2 linked regions of the Drosophila melanogaster genome follow. The protein of the gene in region 1 interacts with the protein of each later gene in a pairwise test. Each region holds a gene or a part of one and is shown on either strand. Other genes may lie near its edges. The genes, in order: spn-F and jvl.

What was found.
Region 2: the proteins of spn-F (region 1) and jvl interact in a two-hybrid assay, tested with the Drosophila melanogaster proteins (3 studies listed by BioGRID).

The regions. Positions count from the first base shown.
Region 1 is NT_033777.3:31,250,888-31,258,360, forward strand, and holds spn-F (spn-F), read left to right. Parts: upstream 1-4,239; 5' UTR 4,240-4,355; coding exon 4,356-5,082; intron 5,083-5,150; coding exon 5,151-5,518; coding exon of another isoform or gene 5,519-5,554; 3' UTR 5,555-5,772; downstream 5,773-7,473. Other genes in the region: qless, read right to left, coding at 795-1,007; mRpL32 (mitochondrial ribosomal protein L32), read left to right, coding at 2,032-2,116, 2,172-2,411, 2,468-2,730; CG1750 (uncharacterized protein), read right to left, coding at 2,772-3,136, 3,192-3,354, 3,412-3,736, 3,792-3,967; CAH6 (carbonic anhydrase 6), read left to right, coding at 6,899-6,965, 7,383-7,473. UniProt on the Drosophila melanogaster protein: Plays a role in oocyte axis determination and microtubule organization during oogenesis. Also required for polarized organization of the bristle. Required, with jvl, for activation of the kinase IKKepsilon in the germ line.
Region 2 is NT_033777.3:14,738,050-14,746,729, forward strand, and holds the start of jvl (javelin-like), read left to right. Parts: upstream 1-3,532; 5' UTR 3,533-4,128; coding exon 4,129-4,542; intron 4,543-7,851; exon of another isoform or gene 7,852-8,106; coding exon of another isoform or gene 8,107-8,299; intron 8,300-8,357; coding exon of another isoform or gene 8,358-8,680. Other genes in the region: eff (effete), read right to left, coding at 2,331-2,354; smp-30 (senescence marker protein-30), read right to left, coding at 8,107-8,299, 8,358-8,680.

The sequences.
Region 1 (7,473 bases):
ACAACGCGGGCGATAAATATTGATAAATACGAGCAATAAACCAGAGCTCAAATGCAACCAGCGAAATTGCATAACTCAAAGAAAAAATGAAAAAGGAAGAAAAACACTGCAGGCTAGCGACTTGTCAACGATATAAAAATAATGACAAACTACAGACAGACCAGAAAGAGACATAATTATCGGGCCAGAAAGAGAGGCAGATGAAAAACTTCACCTTGCAAAAATGCGGGGAAAAACACATGGAAACGTTGCGGAGAAAAACAGAGGCGTTCGGCAAATGGTAAAAAAGCCAAGGCACAATAATAAATAAATGCGCCAGCTTCCGCCAACAACAACACTGCAACTGTGGGCGCAACAAGTTGTTTTTCACGCTACTTGCACAAAAGCAATGGCCAACAACCAACAACCAACAAGCAACGGACAACTGCCAGCAACCAATTTCACTTTCATTTTCTTTTTGGCTTTGCAGCGAAGAAAAGAAAAGCGGACAGCAAAAGCCAAAGTCACGCAGACGCATTAGCGGCCAAAAGAGTTGGCTTGCAGCCAATGCACTCTGCACGGCAAAAAAAAAAAACTAATACATTTTCAATCCAATTTTATAAGGATTTATTTCACATTTGCAAATTTTAAAAGGAATCACTTAAATTGTACTGCTTATAAAAAGTATCTTTTCCTTTTCAAGTTTACCAGAAATGAAATCCTCATATTTTCCATATTTTTCTAACTTCAACTATTTTTACCATTTAACACAACACTTTTCTCGCTGTGTAGGCTTCGCCCGACAGTGAACTTACCAGCAGATCGGGGTAATCCTTGCCCATGCTGAAGCTTAATCCGTGGTAGAGTCGCATGGCCTGCTGTTGAACTTTGGGCGGACTGAATAATCCGGTTGCGGCGGACGGGGCTGTATATCCTGGCCGGGATCCGAAGAGCTGATAGAGCAGCTTGTGCGCCTGCTGGCGACGCGAGCCGCACACGACGCGACCGGAAGTGCTCAAGCAGGCCATTTTGTGGGTTTTGTTTGTGAGGATTTGTAAGTAGCAGGGCTTATGCGATGGTTTTTTTTTTTGTGGGAAGGGTAGGATGCAGCTTCTTGATCGAGACACAGGCACAGAATTCAACAGGTGAACAGCATTATAGTGGGTTTTGTTTATGTTTTTTGCAGGCTCGCAGGATTTGAAAAACGCGCGATTGTGTGGCGAGTTCGGGGTATCGATGGACTAACGATTTCGAGGCGACGGCGAAGCGCGGTTTGCTTGCGTTTGGCTTCAGCAGCTCCAGCGAAGTGTTTTCGCTTTTTGTGGATTTTTGAATCGATGCGCGTGCGCGCGGTCAGGTGTGGTGGGAATCCCACTGGCCGACTGTGGTGGAAACGATCGCTCACGAAGGTAAGATCGGCTTGAACTTGAACGGGGATTTCGGTGGCTAAGGCAGCCACGCGGTTTTACAGTCACTGGGGGTCGAGGTCTGTTTGGATGACCCCAGGCTACCTATGGGTCACACTATTGGAGGGATATATCTGGACTCAAGCGTTGCTCACAGAGGTCCTATGGCCACTACCGCCACTACCAATTAGTCCCGCCAGTGTCCTCATGTTCCGCAACAACTGGGACGCTCAAAGATCCCGATGAAAACGCGTTTTTCCGCCTGGCAAATAGTTTTTATTTAACTCGCACGCAATTTGCACCTTTTCACTACTTTATTTTGACGTAACAGTGCAGAACAGCTGCTGCGAACAGCTGTTTAGGGTTGCAACGTGCGCGGTGACGCAAGGCAGCCGGCTAAAACGTAGCACTAGAAGTGTGCAACGTAAGGCGACAAAGTCTGCAACCTTAAAACGGTAGTTATTTACGGATGCTGACATTATTTTAAAAGTAGTTACACCATTTTTATTGCTCTTTTTTGAATTAACATTTTTACATCTATTTTGTGCCTTACTTACGTTTTTCTATAAACATATCGATAGCACAGCTGTTTCCTCTTGCGCATCTCTAATCACGTTTACGTAAATTTCAGAAGAGCAGCAACAAGATGTCTAGAAATTTGTTTTTATCAATTACAAACTTTATTAGGAACTTAGAGAGCTTGTTCCTGCCACATGGAGGACACCCTCCTGGTGAGAAGCACCAGCCCAAGATAAAGTTACCCTGACTTACCCACTTTTTACACAGCTTTAGCGTTGGCCGGTTTTCAGCATGATCACAGCCCTAAATCCTCCCAGGAATTCAGTTTGAAGCAGCTTATTGGCGACGGATTGCTGTGGGCTGTTCCGAAGCACAGAAGATCCGTGGAGAAACGCCTGAAGCGGAAGTTCGGATATCCGGAATACAACTGGAAGCCTTTGAGGGAGAAGAGAAACCTCCGCTCCTGTCTGCAATGTGGCCATGACCACGAGATGGGAGTTCTTTGTCGTAAGTAGCCTTAAAAGTATACAAAGAGGTAGCCACCTTTAATGTTGCTCTTCCAGCCTTCTGCTACCAAAAGGTCCTGAAGGAGACTGAGCTCATGCAGTCGAAAATCCAGGAGACACTCGGTCTAGATCCCGTGGACAAGGAAGTAATCGTTCTTTATGAAGGCGAGAAGGCCGAACAGTCCACAGATGATCTGAAAAACAAGCGCATCGTGGAGATGAAGAAGCCTCGTCCCATGTGGTTCACCAAGAATCTGCTCCAAAAATCCACGCAGCAGCTGTCCGAAACCAAGGAAGTCAAGCCCTCCGACTTGGCCTAGATACTAAGCATCCATTGTGCATTAAATCCACACGTTCGTTATCAAATCGATGCTATTTTATTCTCTGTGAAGGATAAGGACCTTGCTTGCTTCAGGAATCCGTTGTTAAAGTCCTGGGCACTCATAGGTTTTCTACCTTCCACGCGTAACTGAAGCACTTCCAACTGACTCTGCTGAGCACATCCGATTATGAGGGATCTCGACTTCCTTAGGTAGCTGATGGCACCAGGTTCTTGGACGGGAACTCTCTTCTCCGGTAATCGCAACTCCAGCAACTGCACTTGCTTGCCCAAAAAGTTGGTTGTAAGGTTTTTGTAGCCATACAAAGCTCGATGACGAGTGTATATTTCAATGGCACTCAGCTCGGACCAGATAATTTCTGTGATTTTACTGGTAATCTTGGGAGCTGAAGGCAAAAATATAGTTTATATAGGTTCTCGAAGTGCTTAGATATGCTTTACCATAGCTGACCCTTGAACTATCTTGGGGTTTGGCTTCCTTAAGTCTTACTGATAGGTTGTTAATAGTATCCACAAGTAACTCGGCTCCTAGCGACGCCAAAGATGCATGCAGATCCGGCATGAAGACATCGGGATTAATAGCCACTTCTCGCTGAGCTAAAATCTAAAGCATAAGTCGTCAATACTACTGCATACAATGGTAAGATAAGAATGAACTTACATCACCGATATCGAACCGGTGAGGTTCGATTTTCATGATGGAAACTCCAGTGCTGGCATCTCCCTTCATGATGGCGTATATGATGGGAGCAGCTCCCCGCCATTTGGGTAACAAACTAGCGTGAACATTGATCATCCCATAAGGAAATCCATTGATGATACTACCAGGAATCAGGTGGCCAAAGGAGACCACCACACCCAGATCAAATTGCGGACACACAGAAGGATCTATGGGCCACTTTTGCAGGGGAAGCTTCTCCTTTTCCGCGTAGGTCCTCACACAGTTGGCGGGACTTTTGAAGGAGGTAACAACTCCCAAACGATCACTAAGAAAAATATTCTTATTAATCCAATTTAACATTATTGTTTAAAACATTTTACCCGCAGTTTTTGTGTAGCGCCTGTAAGCTGGGCAAGGAAAAATTGTCGGTACCGAAAAAGAGAATTTTTGGAGGGTGGTAAGTTCCCTTGCAGCGCTGTGCAATTGGGATTACATTCTGCCACACTTTTCTCTTATATTTGTAAAAATTATTGACTAAACTCTTGCCGCAAAACATCGGAAAATTTGTTGGATAATAATGCAGCGTAAACAAAAACAGCTGTTCGCGATACCAGCTGGTCACTCTACCAAATAACGTAATAGGAATGCTGAGATAGAGTGAAACCTGTTGAACCTATCGTCTTCAACCATGTAAATGGTGGTCTAACTTTATAAGATCAAGAGTCGTTATTTTTGTTTAAGTAATTAAACTTAGCTCAATACATTACTTTACTTTTATTTATCTGTCTTCAGTGACTATAGACTATCGGTATAGTGTATATTATTTTTTTAAGTTCATCGCACGGTCATACTAATGAGAACGCAATAAAAATTTGGAAAATCAAACATCTACAGGAAAACGTATATTTTTGGGATCAAGTGCCAAGGAACTCCAATACTGCAGAATGGAGGCATCTGCTGCCAAAATCACGCCTATGGCCAGTTCCATGTCCGCTTCCGGATCCACAAACTCCCCCTCCAGTGAAAAAATGAACTACGCACTGCAAGTGGCGCTGCAGACGATCAAGGAGCGGTGCATCCAGCTGCAGCGCCGCGTGGCCAGCATGGAGGAGGAGAACCAGCAGCTAAGGGAGGCCTCCAGCAGGTCGGAAGGTGCTCCAAGGGCAAACGAAATCGGGGTCACTGGGGACGTCCTCTCTCTGAAAGCACAGGTCTCTGAGCTGCAGCGCCAAAAGGAGCAGCTGGAGGAGCACATTGGCATGGTATCCAACGAGAACAGACGGCTCTGGTCCCGCCTATCGCAGATCTCCAAGGATCAGCAGCTGAACGCACTGCCCAGCTCAACAGACTCGCGAGCCCAGCAAAACCAGAACCTGGTGCGCTCCAAGACCTTTACGCAGCACTCCCCCAATCCTCACCTTCGCCAAAAGATGCTCTCCGACGGCATTAAGGATCTCAGTCTGGAGGAAATAGCCCTGGATGACTTCGGTGCCAGCAGTGAGGAACTAGGTTACCCCTACAACCTGCAAAAGGTGGAGGAAACCACTAGTGAACCAGATGCCAATGTGGATGCCAAAAGATGTTTGGATGGACTGCAGGAGCTGAGGCGAGAGGCCATGAAGCAGCAGCAGGAGCTCAGATCGGTAATGACTCTGCTAGAAAATCGCATAGGTAAGCAACAAAATGGAATTCATGCTATAAAAAAAATAACTTTTAACGCCTGTTTTATGTGCAAGCAGCACTCAAGCCCTGTCCGGAATGTGCCCAGAAAACCATCAAAAAACCGGAGATGGCCGACAAAAGTCTGGAAACGGACGACAGCCTGACCAGCGAGCTGAAGAACTATGAGAGCCAACACAATGGACACAATGGCACGCCGCCCAGCCAGAGAATTAACATAATACAAGAGAAAATCAAAGCAGATGCAGCCGACGCAATGGAGAAGACCTGCCCTATGTGCGGCAAGCAGTACTCCAGCCAAGTGTCCTTCAATGCGTTCCGCGAGCACGTCGAGATGCACTTCATCGACGATGCACTGGAACTGGAGTCGGAGAACAGCATTGAGCGCCAGTTTGAGTTCGTTTCCCATGCTGTGGGTGACTTCTGACCCAGTAGGCGCATTTATTTCGCCACCGAACTCTGACCTGACCGGAGAAATCCAAGGATTAAGGAGCAGTTTGACTGCGCAGGAGCCGCTTGTTACGTTTCTATTGATAAGACGTTAGGGCGATCATGTATCAAAACTATACAACATTGAACTTTAAGAAAAAATATATATATATTGTATTATAATTGCGGAGAGTGCATGAATATATAGATGTAAGTGACCGAATACGAAATACAGTTTAAATGAAAAGCCTGAAAACATGTTGAGCGCTCTCTTCGGTTGGTTGGAAAGTGAAATCGTGGACCGTGGACAACATAAATATTATATTATTAGCGCTGACAAATATTGTAATATCAAAGATGACGATCGATGTTACCATCGCTTGTGGTCATTATCCGATCTAATTGGCAGCTTTTCTGTGAGTCACACACTTTGGGGGAAGAGTGGAACATTCGACAAAGAAGTTTGGCTTGAGGCCATTATGCTGTAACTGGTCAGAGGATTTCCCTGTTTTTTTGGCTATGACGTAGTCGAAACCCGACTGGCAACGTGTGCCTAATCGGGCTGATCCAGTCATTCAATGCGAATATTTGCCAAAATATTGACCATAAGATTTGCCATTGATAGCAATACAAATGCAAATGCTCAGAGCTAACTTTCTTTTAATGCATTTGGAGTGGGTCGCAGCAGGAATTTAGCTTAAGGAAACATTTTAATTTGCCTATGCTAATAAGTTTGATAAATAAATATTTTTAAGACACAGGCACGTGGCAGCTCCCGTGGATACTTTATTACGTTACTATGAAATGCTCAGATAATGAAACAAATTATCAAATCTGGTGCTTATCTACAAGTCGTATAACTGGTAACCCCACCCATTCACCAACCAATGTGCATAGAATTTGTAAGAGTTCAAGCAACTTTTGTTAGATCTTTTCCGCATTTCCAACTAATACTGGGTTTTCCTAGCTCTCATGGTCTATATATTGCGATCCATCCATTTATCATTTCGAAAACCCAGCGCTGCAATTAGTCTGCCACTTGTTGCTACCGTTTGGGGCTAATCACGCGCCACTTAGGTGTCGAATTCAGATCCGATCCGATTCCATTCCGACTTCCCCCCAGACGCCAAGTCTACGTGGGCACCGTGCCCCTCCAAACTATAAAAGATATCGGGGTGTTTATGGCCCGTTTCAGTTGCTCGCAGTTCGCAGTGGCAACAGCATCATATAGAGGCCAACATATCTCCCGCACATTCGCGCCGTATGAATTATGTAAAATCGAAAACGCCGCGAATTTCAATACAAAGACACACGCGTCCGCGGGAATCCAATATTATATATAGTAATATTAGAACAATCACATCTGCGATCTGCAACAATGCAGCCGAATGCCTTTCACAAGCTTTTGTTACTACTACCGCTCGCCTATCAGCATACATCAAATGGTAATTTCGATCCCAGATCTTAAGATAGATATGTAAATCGAATGGAGTGATAAAAGTGCATTAACTAGCCTTCAATGGCAGGAAGTGATAAATGTGCCTCAAAATAGCCTCAAAGCGGTTAAAACACATACTAACTTCCCTCTAAATTATTAAAAATTGGGATTAAACGTTTGAAAGGGTCTTGGCGCACACCCATTACCATTAATTGTATAAGCTACTGTGATTAATCACTCTGCCATACCCTATTTTGGGTTACAGAAACGAGAGAAATGAGAGTCGGCTAATTCCGCCGAATGAAAACAGAAGTGAATTTATTCACGGTCTTGGCTAATAGGATTACCAGATACTGCTGCTAGATGGCTGAAAGAAAGTGAAAACGTCTTAGACCTAACATTTTCTTCAATTTGAAACTTGTAGATCATAAAGACGAATCGCACTGGGACTATGAGACGAACGGACAGAATTGGGGAGGAATTTGCTCTACGGGCGAAAGACAGTCACCCATTTC
Region 2 (8,680 bases), about 17 Mb from region 1:
CCCCGACCAGTCGCTCCATCCCTGTTGCACTCGCACGCACACAGCTGAGCGGCTCCCCTCCCTCTCTCTTACACTCCGACTCTTCTTCACTTATCACAGCTGCCCCACACACACACACTCCAAACGGGGAGAGAGAATGAGGTGTAAGGTAAACCGGCAAAAAAAAAGAATATATATATAAAAAGAATAATGAAGATGAGCTGCGAAAGAGTAGCGCGACTCAGTGGAGAAGTAAGAGGAGGAGCAGCAGGAGGAGGAAGAATGAAGGAGAGTGAGAAGACTGAGCTTCAGTGTATGCGTGTGTTTGTAACGGCACCACAAAATCAGAGTGGAGCACAACAAAAATAGCCGTCGCGAAAAACACCGTGTTTCTTTGCCCCATCTCACTTACTCATTTTGGGAATTGTACCTGTTGAGCAAAAATAAATTACAAGAAATTGTTACATTTCTTTTTTCGTTGGGAGTCGGAGCGGTTATGACTCATATCAGACGAACAAATGAAGTAAAAACAAACACGCACACTTGTGCACAGCAAGAAAATTCGATAATATTATCAATATTAGACCAGGTGCACTACCAATACAAACTTCTATTTAATTCTTATTCGAATAATTAATATTGTGAACTTTAAGAATTGGTTCAGTAAGACTAAATGCCATATGCATTGGTTCTAAAGCCCATTTCGTTCAGTGTACGGTTCAAGTGAGCTCCGATCGGCGTTTAAGCCGTTCTCTCTCGCTCTTTAACTCTCTTTTTTGGCAAATGAGGCCATCTAGAGAAAAAAGGCTTTTGAAGAATTGACCACAAAAAGGGGGCGTGAGTGATTTTAAGAGTTTACTACAATGTATACTTTTATTTCCGGTTTGCCGCTTGCCATTTCGTTTTCATTTAGGCAGGCATTAAAATGTTATAATGGATAGAAAACTACGAAAAACGAGGAAAACTCAATGGCCATGACGCCGACGCAGGCAGCGCTGCTTTTGTCGAGACAGTCAGCAGACCCCCGCCCCACACATTCAAACACAAATACACACCACGCTCACACATACGCATAGATATGAACAAATTCCGCATTCGCTGCTCATTTTGTATGTAAATTATGCTTAATTATAATTTATAACTAATTATTTGGGGGCCCCCTTTTGGCTGACGGTGTTTTGCAACACTAAGCCCCGCTAGCACTCACACACTTGCGCTCTCTTTGGCTCTGCCCCATTGCGCGAGCGGGACCGAATGAGGCCTCAGCTGTCGCGGGCAAAGGGAATGCGCCAGGGCCAGAGCGAGATGGCATGCAATGGCCATAGCCAAGTGATGGCGAGACTTTGTATTTGCGAGCGTTTTAATGTGTGTGTGTGTGGGGTATGACTATGATAACCGGCTTCAAACGTAAAAAAAGATCCCAATTTGCCAAGTAACATTTCCACAACTTCGAGATATTACTAATGCTTTTGAGGAAGGCTGGGATGACTTTGAAAAAATATCGGGTTGTCAGGGCCTTGAACATTGGGGTGTAAAAAAGCATTTACTGGACAAGGACAAACGACGCGCAGGCACTTTAAAAATAATTATCGAAGCACGCACGCTAGAACCACTCTACCTAAATACATATATAAATATATATGCTTGGGGGCAGCACTATTTCTGAATTATCAGCGCAAAAAGTAGGGTTAGGTTAATTTTATACGCTTCTTGCTTTTGCTCTGTTTTATTTTTTGCTGGATCTTTCTGCGGCGCTGGCAGTGTGTGCGTTTATGTGTGACTGTTGCGAGGCTGAGAGTGTGTGCGAGTGCCGTGTACAGCGTGTATTGGGTAACAGCGCCCGTAGAGCTGCGAAAACTCCGCCGTATAGTTGCATTAATGTAAATGCATCCAGGTGCCCGGCACACACGCACACAAACAATGCACATTTGCATTGCACTTTCACGCACACGCATCGCACACACACTTATCCCACACTCTCGCAAAAGTAACGGAAGCGATGACTGCACTACACGTTGCCTTGCCCACCACACACACACATCCTTATACCTTTTTCACCACCCTCAAAATTTCTAATCTGCTCCTAATTACTAACTTATTAATTAAATGGTAACTCCACAGCTCATTTTCTCCCTTCCCTCTTGCACGCTTCTTTCCCCCCGCTTCTTCTTTCTTCTCCTCGGTTACTACCTACGTTTCACATTTCTTGCATAAAATTTTTCTCCCGTTGAAAACTGATGTCTGTTCGCTTTTTTTTTAGACTATCATTTTGGTGTATCGCAAAGGGTTCTGTTCTTTCTTTTTTTAGTCCGTTTCGCAAAGTTTTTTGAGATATTCCTTTTTTCACATACCTTATTGATTCTTTTTAACGCCATTTTCTGATTGAAATTTGATTTTCTGGGTTGTGTGTGTGTTTGGTTGGTTGTGTGTGTGTTTGGTTGGTTGTGTGCTGGTGTTGGTGTCTCGCGTATTTCTTTTGTTCTTCGCACAGAATTGGGTTTTATTCAATATATAATCCTCCTGCTTAGAATTGAACGAAAAACGAAACACAAAGCTGCGTTGCGCCTCTAGAACTTTGATGCTTAAATATGGCTCTTTCGGTTGAGTGTCCCTTGTCACGAAATAAAGCAGCACCAGCGCACTGCAAGTAAAAACGGCGACCCGACGAAGACTACGGCGACGATTATTTTTTCACAATCAATGCGGGGCCTTTCGACCGTTTGTGCGATAGAGACGACCGTTAGTGAGCTGAGAACGCAACGAAGCACAATCGTTACACCGAAGTGTAAGCCCGAGCGAGAGGAATGGTGTGTCTGTGTCGTGTGGTAGTGTTGTGAAGCGGAAGTCCAGCAGAGCAGTCCAGCTATATGACCTTTTCGCTAGGGGTGGCCAGATCGATTGGGTGGCAACGCCTTTTAGGTGAGGGATGAATCAGTTAATTACAATTTGATTGCCAATGCAAGACTCTTCATACTCACTTTAGTTCGGGAACAGCCAGAAGAAATAGTTTTACCGGCAGCGAGGAGGTGTTATATTTTATTCGAACTACCTTCTTATCGATGGTGCGTGCGCCCAAAAGCTTGCAACTTGTATGTAAATTTGTTAACACCCAACGTGTTGCAGGCTGCCGGAATGTTTTTACTGAGCAATTTTGAGATGTTGGTAATCCGAGTTCTTGAAAACTTTCCGACTAGCTACTGAGTTCTACAACTGAATTGACAGGGCGTTATTTTAAAATTTAAATTCACTCCAGAGCGCTGGTCTGGCAAGGCCGACGTGCCAATTCAGGATACTTGTCGATATTTTCCGTTGTGCTATCGATAGTTTTTGGGAATAACAGGCGTTAGTAGATTTTTAGTATTTAGATTTTATTATCATAAGGATGAAAATATTTTTAACAAAATAAACTGGTTCATTTAATTTAACTTTTTATTTTCTCACTACTCCAAATGGCGCTTCCGCTGTCTGAAACTGCCGTTATAATAGTATGAACAGTTAAAACAATCGACGGTAGCTGAATTTAATCAATGCAGCCCTCTTACCCTATACATCGATAGTATCGCATAAACATCGATTTTGGTTCCAGCTCTAACTTTAACTGTCTGCAAAATATTTCAAACAAAAGTGTTTGTTAATTAAGTAATATACTTAATATTAGTGGCTGTTTTGCTTCGACATTGATCGAATTGCGGTTGTGCAAGTGTTTTGTTTGATTTGTTGGCGTGTTTTTCCTAGTTTGGCGGCCCTTTGAACTCGTTCGTGTATCGCCATCTCTCTCCCACCCCCGCAATCGGCTTCGTGCGTATTTTTTTGTGAATTTTTACACAGAACTCACACTTTTGTATGGCCCAAGAATTTGTACAATATTTTTGCACTTGAAAAACAAGAAATAATGAAGAAAGCCAAGATAAACGCGACGATGTGCAAGTGCTAATCATTCAGTTTTGGCAAGCGCTGAACTTCGCTGACTTCTTGAACAGCAAAAAAGATGGAGGAGGATAATGCCAAGGTCCTAAGTAATAACAACAAGAACAACAGAAACAACAATAAGGGACGCCAGCAGCTGCAGGGACACGCCCACAGCTCCGCCACCGCCCACGCCTCCGTCGATATATTTATATTCGATTTATAGTAGCTGTAGTTGTAGTCATGCCAACAACAAAAACGCAAACACAGACAACAACAACTTGCAGCGAAGAGGAAGAAGCGGCGATAATACGAGAAAATTGCGATACGCCAATGGCGACCCCAGCAAATGCAACAACAGCAAACACAACAACTGCAGCACCCATAACAACAACAACAACAACAGTAAATACGCGCAGACAAGAAGAAGCAGCAGCAGTAGCTTCCACACCTAGTGTTACGAAAACGGCAACAACAACAAACATACTAGCCGCTGCAGCGGGATGCCACAAGCCGTTATTCTTCAGCCGCCGCTTTCAGGACAAACGGAACTTTAGCTCGCTACCGCTCTTCGTCTACGCGACCTCGCCATCAACGCACGCCCACTCAGCGGACGGAGTAGGCGTGGCCAAGGAGGCAGCCGCGTTTTGCCACAAGGTGAGTTTGTTGCACAAAGAACCAGATAAACTTGTAATATTAGGAGAACAAGGAACTTCTATAATTGCCAATCAAATATAATATATCCCCTTTAAGTTATGTATTATAAAATGTAGTATTTTATTTAAACTTTGATAATGCCATTTGTATGTATTTAGATTTAACCCCAAAACAGGAAAAGAAAACCAAAAATAAAGAATTCTGGTTGGAACAGAGAGTTTCCAGTTCGAGGGATTCGTTTGGCATGTCACAGAATTGTAATTGTAATAAAACCCCCATGGGTTTTAATACTCATTTTCTACCTTCCACTCTGCCATCTCTTTTTTTCGAGCAATCGCACCGCTCTTTCCGCTCTAAACTTGCGTAATGGATCACTTCCGCTGCACTTGCAACTTGGGTCGTGTCATATCTGAATATATAATTCCCGCCCAATTCATAGTTTAAACAGTAAGCTCCGCCTAAGAAGAACGCGCTAATAACTCCGTGGTTATACTTAAATGAGTTCTTGATCCAGATTATAAATTTAGATACCTAATATTCAAATAGATATAGCTTTAGAAAAGTTGTAAGTTTAGCATGGTTGGTTGTTTCGTTTGTAGCCACTAACTACTGTATTATATTTATAAACGTTCTGCTTGGCTGCCGCAGTCCGCCTATCTGTTCCTCTCGGAAATCGGTGCATGCAGAATCAGATCTCCATTGGAAATGCGTTTTTAATGTTAATCACGAGCGGCTTTAAAAAAATTGTTTACACTGCGTTTTTTTTGGGCTGTTTGTTTTTTTTTTTATATATTTTTATATCAGTACCTTTTTTCGAGTTTCTGCAGCACGGTGATCGCTCAAACGTGTCAGACATTAATGAGCCAACCGCCAACCGCCAAAGCCGAGCATAACTGTGCTTTGTCTCATTTTGATGGGGCTAGGAGTGGTGGACGGAGGGAGGGATGGGGATGGGCGGTATGGGCAGGTGGTTACAGGTGCAGCCATTGACTGGCGCAGCGCTCTCCTTTTGTTGCCGCCCGCTTGCGGTTCGTTCTCTCCCTCCCTCGCATGCCAACCGTACGGTCTGCCCTCTCTGTCGCGCACTGCAACGCTTCACTTGTGCTTCACTGTGCTTGTTGTTTTTGTTGCAGTTCAGTGAGTTGCGACTTGTGCGCTGCTGCTCATAAGCTTCATTAACGTACGTCGGCAAACGCAGACAACAAAGCTCCCGAAAAAAATTGTTTGCCAGTATTTTTTGCCCAGCTTCGGTTTTTCCCGAAGCTACACACATTTTCATGGTCTGGAAAAGTCGATGGGAATGGTTAGAAGAGACATCCTATTGTTCATTTCCTCAAAACATGATACAAGTTTAACGTGCATATCTTATTTGGGTATTTCCAGCAGAATTTGTTAAAAAATTGTCAGTTAAATTGCATTTATTCTTGCAGTCTAATATTATATGTCTTTAAAATAAGAGTTGGAATAACAGAAGAAACATAAAGCAATATTGTAATGATTTGTATTTATTACCTTTCAGGCCGTAAAACCTGGTCAAAACATTAAATTTGCATAAAGTTGTAATAACTTGTAAACCTTTTTTTTATTACCTACATCCAATATTATTTTTATTATTCAATCAAATTGAGATGCAATCTGCATTTTAAATATTTACCTTACGTATTTCTCATGCTTTCTTTTCAAATTTGATGATCAGATCGTTTGACACTTTCCACTGGTTTACTGCGCTTTCTAACGTGGGTTTCCCCCAAAAAAGTGCCCAGTGGGTGTGGCACCCTCGTATGTGATATGCCCCATTCGGTATGGATAGGAATGTTTGTGGGCGATACTTTCGAGGCACAGTGGATCATAGCATTTTGTGGCAGCTTTCGAAACATTCTGATAGATAAGAATGAAAAAGTATAGAACAAGTGAAATGAAATGAACATTTGCACACTTTATTCGCTATTTAAAGCTCGAGAAACAGCCAGCTTTTGTGTTCATTGAGTCAATATTTAATCTTTTTTCTCAAGGTGGCCCAAAATGTGTAAATAAGGCCTTAAATATCCATTTATTTTCCAGACCCACTGTGACCACCGACGGTTATGAATTGAAAGTCTCAGCCTCTGTTGTTATAATACAATTACGTTGCATTGCTGTTAAATCCGTCCTCCTTGTCGGGTGTTGTTTACATTTTCAAATTTAAATCAATTTTGTTTCTGATTGCGGTTTAAGTGGCAGGTTCCAGTCCCCCAGACCCCAGAGCCCAAGTACCCAGTTTTCAGTTTTCAGCCCCATCTCTTGTCTTTCTTTATGTTTATTGCTGCCATATGTGTTCGGTATCTGGATCTGTATCAGTCTGTGTGGCATTCTCGTGTTGTCAAACAATGCGCATATGGATACTGTATCTGTATCTGAATAAATGTATCTTTTATTACCCATATATTGTGGAACAGTTGTTTTGGGTGCAGCGCAAACAATTGTCGAATAGATCTCTCATCTTCCTCGCCCTTCTTTTCCATTTTTTTTTTTTGGAAATATGTTTTTGATTGCTCTTGCCCCCTGGAGACCTCCTCGTATCCCACAAGATTTTCTAGCCACTGTCTAGTTACATTTCACATACAATCAATATTGTGCCCTCTTTCGATTGAGGCGATATATATTTGAATCGATTTATTGCAATTTATTTGAAATGGTTTGATTTTGTAAGCCAATCGCTAGTTTTTTTTATTGTATTGTGCTCATTCATAATAGTAAAATTTCCGCCTAGAGCTCATTTAACTTGTAATTATGGGGGATTTGACTATCTCGCAAGTGGAAAAAGAGATAAGATAAAATGGAACAAATTTTGTGCTGAAATGAAGGATTTACATTGATGGTAAAAATAGATTTTATTGCTAATGAATACACACTAAAAGTTGCAATGAAAATCGTTAGTTTATTATAATGAAATAGATGATTTGCTATTTTATCGAGATTAGATTAGAATTTTTAAAATCTTCCACAGAACTTTAAACGCACAACAAATACAATCTATTAAGTACGAGTCCCCTAGAACATTTGACGTATCAACTTGGTATCTGTTTGCCCAATTAAGTAGTAATATCTCCCTGGTACTTTACTAGATGTTTTTAAAAAATAAACTATTGCAATTTCATTTTAATCTGAATCGTTTGCCCTACAAAAATAACACCAAGGGAGTATAGCGCTGCTATATATCAATTTCATAAAAATCTATTGGTTTTTTTGGAGTGGTTCTCACTTATCTGGCATGGAACCAGGGATTGCTTCACATCCCTCAAGGTCAAAGACTATATATTTTCTGGTTTTATATTGTACATAAGTGTTTATTTATTTCGTTAAATGAATCTTATCATCAAAATGCATCATGAAATGTGATGTTCCTAAATGATTTGATTGCAATCTTAGAATTAAAGATATGCCCTTCACAGAGCTTCGGCACATTTTTAGATATTTGGAAACTAGTAAATGCCAAAAATAAGAGAAAAACCAACTGCATTAGTTCAGTATACAAGTAAATGTTTGATTATTTAATTAAATGCTATTATACAAGTAGTCTATAATCTAGATCTTCAAATTAACGCCGGCGTAACCCTTGGCATTGAGCCCAGTGACCTGGAAGGTGGTACCAGCTGGTTTTGGCTGGTCGAACTTGTTGGCGGTTGTCACATACAAAATATCCAAATTGGGACCTCCAAAAGCCACCGAGGTGATTTGGGTGGTTGGAATTTTGATCTCCAGCAGAATTTTACCGGTGCTGAATTAAAAAGATAATGTTTAGTATTGAACTAGAATGGGAAATTAAAGAAACCTACCTTGGATTGACCTTGAAGACGGTGCCACCATTGAAGGTGGCCACGTAGATATTGCCATCGGTGTCTACGGTCATGCCATCAGGGAACAATGGTCCTTCGGGCCGAATCTTCCTCAGATCGAAGATGACCTTTGGGTTGCTTACGGCGCCGGTGCTCTGATTGTAGTCATAGGCCAATACCTCGTGGTTGTTGGTGTCGATGAAGTAGAACTTCTTGGCCTTGACATCCCAGGCCAGGCCATTGGATATGCCCACCTTGCTACGGATAGCGTTGGGCTGTCCACCGGCCTGCCAGCTGTAGAGCTCACCCTTCCATTGGGTGAA